Linked DNA regions of Kluyveromyces lactis. The protein of the gene in region 1 interacts with the protein of each later gene in a pairwise test. Links are inferred from orthologs where the notes say so. Each region holds a gene or a part of one and is shown in the gene's direction. Other genes may lie near its edges. The genes, in order: DST1, DCG1, YOP1 and ECM31.

Region 1 (2,864 bases):
TTAATTTGAATAGATACTGCATACGTGGAGTAAGCTTGGTTATTAACCCTTCTCTTCATTATTTCCATAAAATTATACTGCTACTTCTGTCTTACCGTCAAGCGCATTCTGGCTCATTGAAGGTATATTTTAGAGACTGAACTTTACTTCATCCGAAAGTGCGTATTCAATTTGTACATTCTACACCGTTTCATCTATAAGCATTAATGAACTTTATAGTTGACGCATGTTCATTATTTTTGATTTTCCATCCATGAGACGATCTATTAAAGATGACCGAATTCACCTTTCATTGCCCTCTGTTTGAGTTCCCAAACTGCCATCTTTTCGTCTTGCGGAAGCATTGCTATATCTGAATCCTGTAGCTGTAGAACTTGCCTTAGAAGATCCACTTTCTCTTCGTCTAATCCGTCTTCCACTGTGTTATCAGTCTGTTCCTCTGGCCTTTGTTTACTCGCCATAGCCAATTGTGTCAATTGGTCCACACTGCACACACCGTTACTCAACAGGAGTTCCGCAATAGCATAGCTCAATTGAGGTGCCTCTTCTAGGAGTGCTACGAAAGTTTCCTTGTCGTCTTTACAGAAATGTTGGATTACTTTTAGTAGAGCCATCTGTTGGTCCTTTTGTAGCTTCCCCAATTCACTACTGATACACATTGCTGGTGTAGTCATATTGATGTTAACGTCCACCCCTACCGGGAGCCATGGGAACTTCACATCCTCAACCATGTTTCCATTCTCCTCTTCATCTCCGGGGCCAGATCCGCTGCCGTTTATGCCACTACCGGTGGTGTATCCGCACTTTAACGATCTTGAACCCAATGTATACCCGTTCAAGTTTCTAACTGCACTTGCCGAAGTTGCCAAATCTTTGAATTCAATAAAAGCATAACCCTTAGATTTACCCGTCGTTGGGTCAAACATCATCTTCATTGCCGTTACTGGTCCTATCGTCTGACATAGGTCTAATATTTGTTGTTCTGTTTGGTCATACGGTATCGAACCTAAATAAACTGTGCGCGATGGATTTCCCCTGTTCATTGCTTTTTAACTATTTCTATGATTGAAATTGGTTGCACCAGGTTATTTTCACAGCTAGCTGTCTGGTGGAAGTCTGTCTTACAAGTCCTTCGATGCTCTTAGCGGTACTTTATAAGTGTAATAAAACTCAGATATGGCTTTATTGTTCGATTCTTCAACTTTCGTCATCAACTTCAATTCTAATTTTTTTTTCAATGTTCGAATGAAATGAAATTAGAATTGAAAACTAATTAATGACTTCAAACAATCAACACTGTCCATTGTCCAAATGGTGGATTTCAGCAGGTCCTAACTCATTAGAATCTGTTGAGAGCAATATTTGCTGTGTATTATTAACATTCATTCTTCATCTTCGAAAGAAATTGATCCTGGAATATAGATAGAAACTGAGATATCTTCTGCGGATATGGAAACCAAGGACGTTTTAGAAGCCGTCAAAGGATTAGAGAAGAACAAAAATAATAATGATGTTGTGTTCAAGATTCTACAGTCATTAGATAAAGATTTGAAAGATGTTAATGAGAAGCTTCTTAGAGAGACGAAAGTAGGGGTCGTAGTCAACCAATTTAAGAAATCTTCCAATCCAGACATCGTCAAATTGGTGAAGAAGATGATTTTATCCTGGAAAGATGCTGTGGCTCGTGAAAAGAAAAGCAAACTAAGCAGCAATTCCTCATCTACAAGTAACAATAATGGTACAAGCGGTGGAGAAGCAGTAAAGAAGGAGAAATATGTCAGCAAAGCTCCAAGAAATGCTAAGAACGACGGTGTGAAAACGGATATATATGGTGTCAAGATTAGAGATATGGCTATTAGGGCATTATATGATGCATTGGCAAAAGAAAGTGAACATCCTCCAGTAGCTATCCTAGATACAGTAATGAGTATTGAGACAGAAATGGCTAATCTGTTCAATCCCGAGTCTGACGAAAAGGGATATCGTGACAAATACAGAATAATTTACTCAAATATAATCTCCAAGAACAATCCAGATTTGAAACATAGAATTACGAATGGAGAAGTATCAGCCAAACATTTAGTGACTGCTGATCCTAAGGACTTGGCACCGGAACATTTAAAGAAGAAAATTGAGGAAATTGAGAAACAGAATTTGTTTAATGCACAAGGTGCAACTGTAGAAAGATCAGTAACAGATAGATTCCAATGTGGCAAATGTAAACAAAGAAAAGTATCATACTACCAACTACAAACAAGATCTGCGGATGAACCTCTTACTACTTTTTGTACATGTGAGAATTGCGGTAATAGATGGAAGTTCTCGTAGTTGAAATTCTCACTTTGAATTTTACGAAGATAGCCTTGGCATATGATACACTAAAGCAGCATGATGATGGCAGTGATCAAGCACTAAAACTCTTTCGTTATTTCATTGCTAGCTAGATGTGTACACATAGCATCCGCCAATTCTACATCATACATTCTTCCGGCTAACTAGTATTTCATGTATAAATGACCAAAGTTGTAATATCACAATTAAGAATCGTATCTATGGTAAATACTCTACAGATGGTGTTGAATTCATTGTAGTTCGATTTGTTTATATATTGCAAGCTCAAATGAAAATAGTCGGTGCTCACCTTCAATTATTACCTTCAGACTCCTGTTCGATAACAGTCCATCATGTTAAGGTCTGAAATTTTATCAACTTCAAAAAAATGTGAAAGCGCAATTATCTTTCCGCTTGCATACTAAATTAAGAAAATATAGAATATCCGAGACCTAACCGGTCCTGTTGCTGTGGAACTTCAATAATCCTCATATAGAAAACATGTTATCGCGTTCTGTATTCCGTTCTGGGCT
Region 2 (2,601 bases), on another chromosome or scaffold:
AGAAATCGATCATTGGAATGAAAAGTTAAGTGAATTGTCACCTGAAGAAATTATACGTTGGGCTATCGTTACTTTCCCACATTTATTTCAAACCACTGCGTTTGGCTTAACTGGGTTGGCTACTATCGATATGCTTTCTAAGATTAATCAAAATGAAACAGAACCAATCGTTCCATTAATATTTATTGATACATTGCACCATTTCCCTCAGACGTTAGAGCTTTTGAAAGTGGTAGAAACTCGGTATTACAAGCCAAGAGGACAGAATGTCAATGTATATCAGCCGAAAGATTGTGGTTCGGAGCAAGAATTTGCTGCCAAATACGGTGATTTCTTATGGGATACAGACGATGATAAATACGATTTCCTAGTCAAGGTGGAACCTGCTCATAGAGCTTATAAGGAATTGCAAGTGACTGCTGTATTCACTGGTAGAAGAAAGAGTCAAGGTGGTGCAAGGTCGAATCTGAAATTCATCGAATTGGACGAATTCAATCATATCATCAAGATCAACCCGCTAGCGAACTGGGACTTCAACCAAGTGCAAAGTTATATCCGTGATAATAACGTACCTTACAATGAATTGCTAGATCTAGGATACCGGTCGATTGGTGATTATCACTCTACACAACCTGTTCAAGAAGGTGAGGATGAGAGATCAGGCAGGTGGAAGGGTAAGGCAAAGACGGAATGTGGGATTCACGAGACAAGCAGATTTGCACAATATCTCAAACAAAGAGAATGATATGTGTTTGATATATATATATATATATATATCTTTTCTGTTGTATACTGTGCATGCGGCATCTCTTATCTAGCTTTATTTATGGTTTCAGTTTAGATACACAACGTGACATTTTTAGTCACTTAATGTACATATTATATATGTTGCGACTAAGGTGGAAAGTGTATGAACAGTTGCGAACCTTACCCATGCAACTTGGAAGAGAAACCCCCAGCTTGAATCTCTCATCAATTCTCATGACTGTCAAAGCCTAAAGTTTTTGGGCTGATTCACACTATGATAACCGGGAAAAAATGAATCAAAGGTTCTGAAAACATGCGTCCGGACAGATACGAAAAGCAACATAAACCAAAGAGAGAAACTTATATAACTCTGTATGATAGGAGTCAAGTAGCTCATTATTCCAGGATGATTAACATATTGAATCATAGAACATAGCTGACACTAACAAGCAAGGATGTCGTTGTCTAAATTACCTTTCGTAAAGCACAAGAAGAGTTTACCAGATGATGAGCTCATCAAGGTCTTATTTGTAAACCCTAATTCAACCCAAGCAATGACCGATGCCTGTTTAAAGATATTGGCTGGTCATGTAGCTCCAGACACTGTGGTTTACGGGTACACTGCACCATTTGGTAAGGCACCCAATGTGATTGAGGGTCATCTCGATGGTATTCAATCTGCAATTGCCGTTATGGAAGATGCTTACGATGTAATAAACCAAGTCGATTGTGTACTTGTTGGATGTTTTAGCGACCATCCATTGATAAAATCTATCAGGGAAGAATTTGATGATGTTGTGTGCATGGGTATCGTGGAAGCAGCCGTGTACTCATCCAGGATCATTGGATCAAAATTCGGTATTCTTGCATCAATTTACAAGGCTCAGTTAAGAGATGAGGAAACCATAGCAGGTCTTGGCATGTCCACATTTTGCGTTGGATTGTTAAGTTCTGGTATCAAAACCGTATCGGATTTGGTCAAAGTGGAAGAAGCTGAGCTTCATAAAACAATGTCTAAAACTGCCTTGACCTTAGTAGAAGAATATCACGCAGACACCATCATCTTGGGCTGTGCAGGGATGAGCGACTTGAAAAATGCTGTTGCAAACGCTTTACAGCAGAATGGCTATGAAGTGCCAATTATTGACGGAGTGGTATGCGGGATCAACATTGTTTCGGCTGTCTACAGAAGTGGATTACACGGTACATCCAAACAAGGAGCTTATTCAAGTGCTAGAAAGGCAAGAGAACTAAGAGGTGATACAGTTGAAATCAAGAAGTCATGATACTGGGAGTCCATTGGCATGGTGCTGTGTTCATTCCATTCCTTATATAACGTGTATAGTGCCAATATAGTCAGGTGACCTCCATCAAGAACGTTTAACATGATATGAACTTCAAGCTTTGAAAGAGAAAAAAACGAGTTTGGAGCTTCTCCGGAAGATGAAGAATAAAGTTCAAGCATTAGTGGATGCATTCTTTGGTTTTCGGCGTATTCAGTATCTGTGAGACTAATTTCGATAGTTATCCTAGCAATTAGTATATCCAAAGGAAGGCTGTAGATATAAACAACATGGGTGGTTTCAGATTTCCAATCAAGACAAAGCTTCCTTCAACGTATTTGAATGCTAGAGTTATCAGAGACAATTTCAAGAGACAGCAAGTTGCAGACAATGAAGTCACTGTAAAGGCATTGAAATTCATTGCTAGAAATACTACTCTACCTCCAAGGTCGAGAATGGAAGCTCAGTTACAACTTTCTGTGATGCCTAACTATACAAGAATGACACAAATCAAGAACAGATGTATTGAAACGGGACACTCCAGATCTGTTCTGAGTGATTTCAGATTGTG
Region 3 (2,684 bases), on another chromosome or scaffold:
ATAAGGATTAAGGTTCCGGATAGAACCTTAATTCCAGATGTTGACGTAAAATACTCAGAAGAAACTGATCCCATCAAACAAATTTTGCATGGTAGGAGATCTGTTCCTACTGGCAAGAATTATTTTACCATTCAACCTGGGGACGTTTTCAAGACTCCGTTATATATTCCGAAAAAAAATCTTGAGGGAAACCTCGTGGAAGCAAAGCAAATAACTAACCTAACAGCTGGCGTTCCTGGTGATGTTGCTGTTTCGGTTATCGACGGTAATAATTTCACACACTGGCAGCCCGCATATAAAAACTTGCCAGCAAGGCTATTAATCGATATGGGGAATAATTTCACGCAAGAGATCAAGTCAGGCAAGATTATATGGGGTTCGAGGCCTGCAAAGACCTTTTCGTTGTCGATATTGCCACAAACAGAAGAGGTATTCAAAAATTTGACGCATATATTATCAAACGTCAATCAATATTGCAATAAGACTGGTGATGAATGTGTACGCGATTTGGAACGGACAGAAAAAGGTTTTGATGCAGCGATTGAAGATGTTTTTGACTGGTACGGTATTGATCCAGATAGTATAATCAGTACTCATCCTGAACTTAAAGATATGAAAACTAAATTTGTAAAGATTTTGGATCACTATAAGGTAACACCATCAGAACCATACCCATGGCGAGTATATAATGAGTCCCAAATTGTATTATTGCCTGGAAATGAGACCGATTTCGATATTGATTATTCAAAAGTGGCTGAAATGAATCCCGAAAATGTTGATATTGATTTTCGTGGCAATCAAACTGATTGGAGAAAGGGAAGATTCATAGTTCTAACTGTTCATGACACTTATGATGATGACGATGATGAAAAGGGAGCGACAATTAAAGAATTTGCATTATTCCCATAAGACATGCACATAAGTCTCATATACGGGACATTTTTAGTTTGATAGTTATTTGATTAGTCGGTCAGCTAATTCAAATGCTGTCCCTAAAAGTTTTTATTCATAATGAAATGTTTTCATTTTTTTTTTGGCATTCCTTAGTGTATTCCTTCATATACTCAATCTGACACTTTTAAATAGTATTAGCTTCCAATATGAACGTTCGAAACTTCAGCGGCGAAAAAAAAACCAAAAAAAAAGAAGGCGTACGGGATTAGAAAAAATATGCTGCTTCTGTGGATCGAACACAGGACCTTATGAACTTCAGTCATACGCTCTCCCAACTGAGCTAAAGCAGCGACTTGTTGAAACCGGTGGTGATTTGCTCATATTGGTTCCACTTGCTAAAGTTAGTGTTCCTCTTTTTTTTTTTCGTTTTCTGTGGCTCGGATAGAACATTCCATTAGGTCTGGCTGTTTCTTAAAACGCAACGAATTCTGAAAAGTGAAAAAAAAATATAAACTAAAGAATGAAATTTAAAGGGATACATCTAACTTGCCAGTGAGCGATAATTCCTCCTCCTTCAAATTTTTTTGATTTACCTTAAGTCTGCACTCTATCAATCCAACAAATCTACAATCAAACAACAATGGCAGACTATCTGAAATTATTTCAAGATTCCTTGAAGGGTTTGGACACTGTATGTTTACTAGGATTTTTATTATCTTTCGGATGCTTCTCGTAACTAACAGAGAAAATAATACTACTTTAAAACTTAATATACTAACCAATTCTAACTTAGAAATTCGCTGGTAATCAAATTTTGTCTCGTATTGAAGCTCAAACAAAATTGCCAAGATCATATGTTATCGTTGGTCTTGTTGCTGTTTACTTTCTCTTAATTTTTATCAATGTTGGTGGAATTGGTGAGATTTTATCCAACTTTGTTGGATTCTGTATTCCAACATACTATTCTTTGAAAGCATTGAAGACTGCCACATCAACGGATGACACACAATTGTTAACTTATTGGATTGTTTTTTCGTTTTTGTCTGTGATCGAGTTCTGGTCCAAGGCTATTTTGTACTGGGTTCCATTCTACTGGTTCTTTAAGACTGTTTTCTTACTGTACATTGCCATTCCATCATTCGGCGGTGCCCAACTTGTTTACACGAGGTTGATTTCACCATTCTCTGACAAATACCTACCTATCGTGGAAGGGAAATCGGGAGAACTGGCCCAGAAAGTCGAAGCTGCTGCCAACAACGCTAAGGCTTCTGGATACTCCCGTTAAATTCTTCTTAGTTGAAAAATCACCCTCTGGTCCAATTTTCTTTTGAGTTCGCTTATTTGATTGCGGAAATGTGAACTCGTACCGGTGTTTATCGACATAGATCCCTTATCTACATGATGTGATTGTTATATCGTTTTATAGTTTACACAATATTACTTTAAGGCATCTTTAACGCTCGTTAATGGGGGATGTTTTCAAATTTATAATCGAATTGATCCTCGGTGGAGTTGATATTCAATTTGACCCTTAGCTTGATTTTCCCAGATCCTAGAATTTTAAGACCCTGCTTAGCTACTTCACCTGTAGCTACCTTGTGGCTTGACAGAGATCCGAATTCTGCCTTCTGTGATTTAGGAACAGCGATTAGGATCTGTAAGGTATTAATATTCGTTTTAGCTTTCAAGAATAGGTCTATTTCAGTACAACCGGGGATTGACGATTCTACTTTACCATAAACTTCAACAATATCAGATGAGTGGATATTGATAGAGTTTGGTGGTATTTC
Region 4 (2,969 bases), on another chromosome or scaffold:
AAATAAATTACCTCAAAAATCAACTACAAAATTGATCTATCTTTCTCGAATCCCTTACTCATACGTACAGAGCTCTGTAAGGTGCCGTACACACTTATCTCCAGCCGAGGTAACAATAACCTCCTTTGTAGTAACAAGAAAGAGATTTCTAGGGACTTAGATACTATTCCGTCTCTTCTACGCTATTATTTTCTCACGGATTATCTGTTCTTGTTGGATTGTGTAATCTGTCAACTCAATAAACTATCTTAGAAAAAGAAGGTCCTCCGAATACTTGTGTAGTGACATAATCTACACTACATTGTAAAGGAACCTCGGAGAGATAGAGAAGGCATGAAAAAAAAAAAAGATCTAAATGGTAGTCAATATAAGGTATACTGGAATGCCAGTACAAACTAGGTCCGAAAAACGGCATTTATGCCACATGTCTAAAGACAACACAAAGAACGGGTTTAAAACTATCGAGAATGGTGGATAAATTGTAATGCATACACAGTAAAGGAACGGAAGTAGGAAAAATGAGGGCTCCATCGTAGATTAACTCTGTATACATAAGTTGGGGCTTTTATCAAAAACTAGATAGGTGCGTGTTAATTCGAGGATCGCAACCAGAAACAATAAAGACACAAACACACAGAAGTAAAGCTACAAATTTCCAGTTCTATGAGAAGCCAAGTGCGAAGTTATAGTTAAGAAAACGCTTAGTCAACTGTCCAGAAGACCTATTACGGGTCCTTTCTTGTTCTCTTTCTTTTTTTGCGGACTCTATGCGCGTTAACAAGAAACGGCTCTTATAAATCATGCAGGTTTATCCGAAATCTGGGTAAAAAAAACAAAATCTAAACCTTTTTGGCTTTACAATATAAATCACGATAAACCCGTTGGTCTTGGGATAGGCGAATATAGTGCGATATGTTGTTTGTATTCTCTTGATTCTGTGGGGGTTTCTGGGCTCGGAGTCTTTGTATGGTGGGGGTTTGTGTACTGCCCCACCTCCATTTGTAGCCTTTACTTGCATAAAGCGTGGGTATCGGAACAAATAGGAAACCGGCTACATTCAGTTCCTGGCAACCAAGAGAATAAAGTATTCGCTTAACGGAAAAGAGTGGCTGTTTCGTACTCCTACCAGCGTAGGAAGGGAAAGCTAGTATTACAATACAGACAGTGTTAAAGTCCACTCTACTGTGGGATATATTCCGGCGTCAACATGAGCCGGAAAAAATACCTCGTGCTTATCCCGACTTGCTAGACTATGGGGGCACTTACAAGCTCGTTGACGCTTGACCAAACCTTAGTTTTCAGCCGACGCTACTGATAACCGGAAGTATGTTCTTTTGCTGAGGTGCTATGGGAGGCAAGTGAAAAAAAGAAAAAGAAAACTTTTGACGCATTTTTTCCTTGTCTTAAGTATGTGAAATTGAAGATTTCAGAATTTGTCAAATAGGTGAACGTGTCTAAGATGAGATGAGTTGAGATGAGCCGAGATGTGGAGCAACGGTATGATTCGGTGTATAGGCAGGAGATGGTACTCGCTGCAGAACAGCTCGGCGGTTGCAGCAACCGCCAAAGCTGTTCATCAGCTTACCGTTAAGGATATTATGGCAAAATACCATCGTAGAAACCCCATTTCGATGGTTACTGCGTATGACTATATAACAGCAAGCTGGGCACAGAATGCCAACTCAGATATGATTTTAGTAGGTGACTCCGTCGCTATGTGTTCTTTAGGGTATGAATCAACTACTCAGCTTTCTCTTGACGAATTTCAATATCATGTTGGTGCTGTTTGTCGCGCTCCAGGTCCTGCATTTGTCGTTGTCGATATGCCCTTCGGATCCTTTGAAAGATCAATTTCTGATGGGATCGGTAACGCGTTCCAGTTGTTACATTTGAATCCCAAAGTGCAAGCCGTGAAAGTAGAGTGTGGATTGTCTCAAGATGATTACTCGCTAGAATATATCAAAGAGTTGGTTAGACGTGGTATATCAGTGATAGGGCATATAGGATTGACTCCACAAAGAGTCCATTCACTAGGCGGGTACAAGGCCCAGGGTGGTCAACAGAGCACTGATGCTGTGGCGTTGTACAACGTTAGTCAAACTTTGCAACAGATCGGATGTTTCGGTATTGTATTGGAATGTATTCCGCATAAGATATCTTCTGTCATCACGGACAAATTACACATTCCCACCATTGGTATCGGTGCAGGCCCAGATACTAGTGGCCAGGTGTTGGTGCAATCTGACGTTCTTGGGATGCTTCCCGGACATAAACCGAAATTTGTTAAAATGTTCGCAGATTTTAAGAAGGACGCTGTTTCTGCTTTGTCTCAGTACGTTCAAGAAGTTCATGATAAATCTTTCCCACATATAGGCCACCACACTTTCAAAGTAAACGATGAAGTGTACCAAGATTTTATTTCTAAGATAGATACTGAGTGAACAGTCTTTTTGAAAGATATTTCGGTGCCTATTCATTATTTATTCTACATTATTTGAGAAATCTAAAGTCTCACCCAACTCGGGACAAAAGCATCTATCTTTTAATTCGTTAAACTCAGATAAGAACTCTAGTTTCTCTTTAGGTTCTCTAAAGTACTCCCCACTCAGAAGAAATGTTCCCCAGTGGATACCAAGAGCAGTTTGCGCATCCAAATCATTCATGATCTTGATGACTTCTGCTGGGTTTATATGTCGAGGCCTTTGATGCCATTCGGGGCAATATTGACCACAGGGGAGCAAAGCTAGCCGTACGCCGCTCCCATATTTTTTAACGATTCTTTTGTATAAATCATGCACAAAACCAGTGTCTCCCGCATGGAATAACACCGGTTTGTTACCCTTATGTACTATGAACGAACACCATAATGACCTATTCGCATCTAACACAGATCTTCCTGACCAATGCATTGCCGGCGTGGAGGATATTTGGTAAATGGTATCTTCTTGCGCACCTTTTATCTTCACATG

Evidence for each region.
Region 2: the proteins of DST1 (region 1) and DCG1 interact in a two-hybrid assay, tested with the Schizosaccharomyces pombe proteins (2 studies listed by BioGRID, with this or other methods). The link is inferred for Kluyveromyces lactis from reciprocal best matches to the Schizosaccharomyces pombe genes tfs1 and SPOM_SPAC1F7.10.
Region 3: the proteins of DST1 (region 1) and YOP1 interact in a two-hybrid assay, tested with the Schizosaccharomyces pombe proteins (2 studies listed by BioGRID, with this or other methods). The link is inferred for Kluyveromyces lactis from reciprocal best matches to the Schizosaccharomyces pombe genes tfs1 and yop1.
Region 4: the proteins of DST1 (region 1) and ECM31 interact in a two-hybrid assay, tested with the Schizosaccharomyces pombe proteins (2 studies listed by BioGRID, with this or other methods). The link is inferred for Kluyveromyces lactis from reciprocal best matches to the Schizosaccharomyces pombe genes tfs1 and ecm31.

The regions. Positions count from the first base shown.
Region 1 is NC_006042.1:863,889-866,752, reverse strand, and holds DST1 (transcription elongation factor DST1), read left to right. Parts: upstream 1-1,449; coding exon 1,450-2,328; downstream 2,329-2,864. Other genes in the region: RNA15 (Rna15p), read right to left, coding at 267-1,043; DPC13 (Dpc13p), read left to right, coding at 2,833-2,864. UniProt on the Schizosaccharomyces pombe protein: Necessary for efficient RNA polymerase II transcription elongation past template-encoded arresting sites.
Region 2 is NC_006038.1:937,819-940,419, reverse strand, and holds DCG1 (Dcg1p), read left to right. Parts: upstream 1-1,202; coding exon 1,203-2,033; downstream 2,034-2,601. Other genes in the region: MET16 (phosphoadenylyl-sulfate reductase (thioredoxin)), read left to right, coding at 1-745; MRP2 (mitochondrial 37S ribosomal protein uS14m), read left to right, coding at 2,321-2,601.
Region 3 is NC_006041.1:596,437-599,120, reverse strand, and holds YOP1 (Yop1p), read left to right. Parts: upstream 1-1,534; coding exon 1,535-1,585; intron 1,586-1,687; coding exon 1,688-2,179; downstream 2,180-2,684. Other genes in the region: alpha,alpha-trehalase ATH1, read left to right, coding at 1-909; APL4 (AP-1 complex subunit gamma), read right to left, coding at 2,358-2,684. UniProt on the Schizosaccharomyces pombe protein: Required to generate and maintain the structure of the tubular endoplasmic reticulum network and the vacuole. Induces high curvature in membranes and causes membrane tubule formation. Involved in membrane/vesicle trafficking.
Region 4 is NC_006041.1:2,167,850-2,170,818, reverse strand, and holds ECM31 (3-methyl-2-oxobutanoate hydroxymethyltransferase), read left to right. Parts: upstream 1-1,484; coding exon 1,485-2,441; downstream 2,442-2,969. Other genes in the region: FMP30 (N-acetylphosphatidylethanolamine-hydrolyzing phospholipase D), read right to left, coding at 2,481-2,969.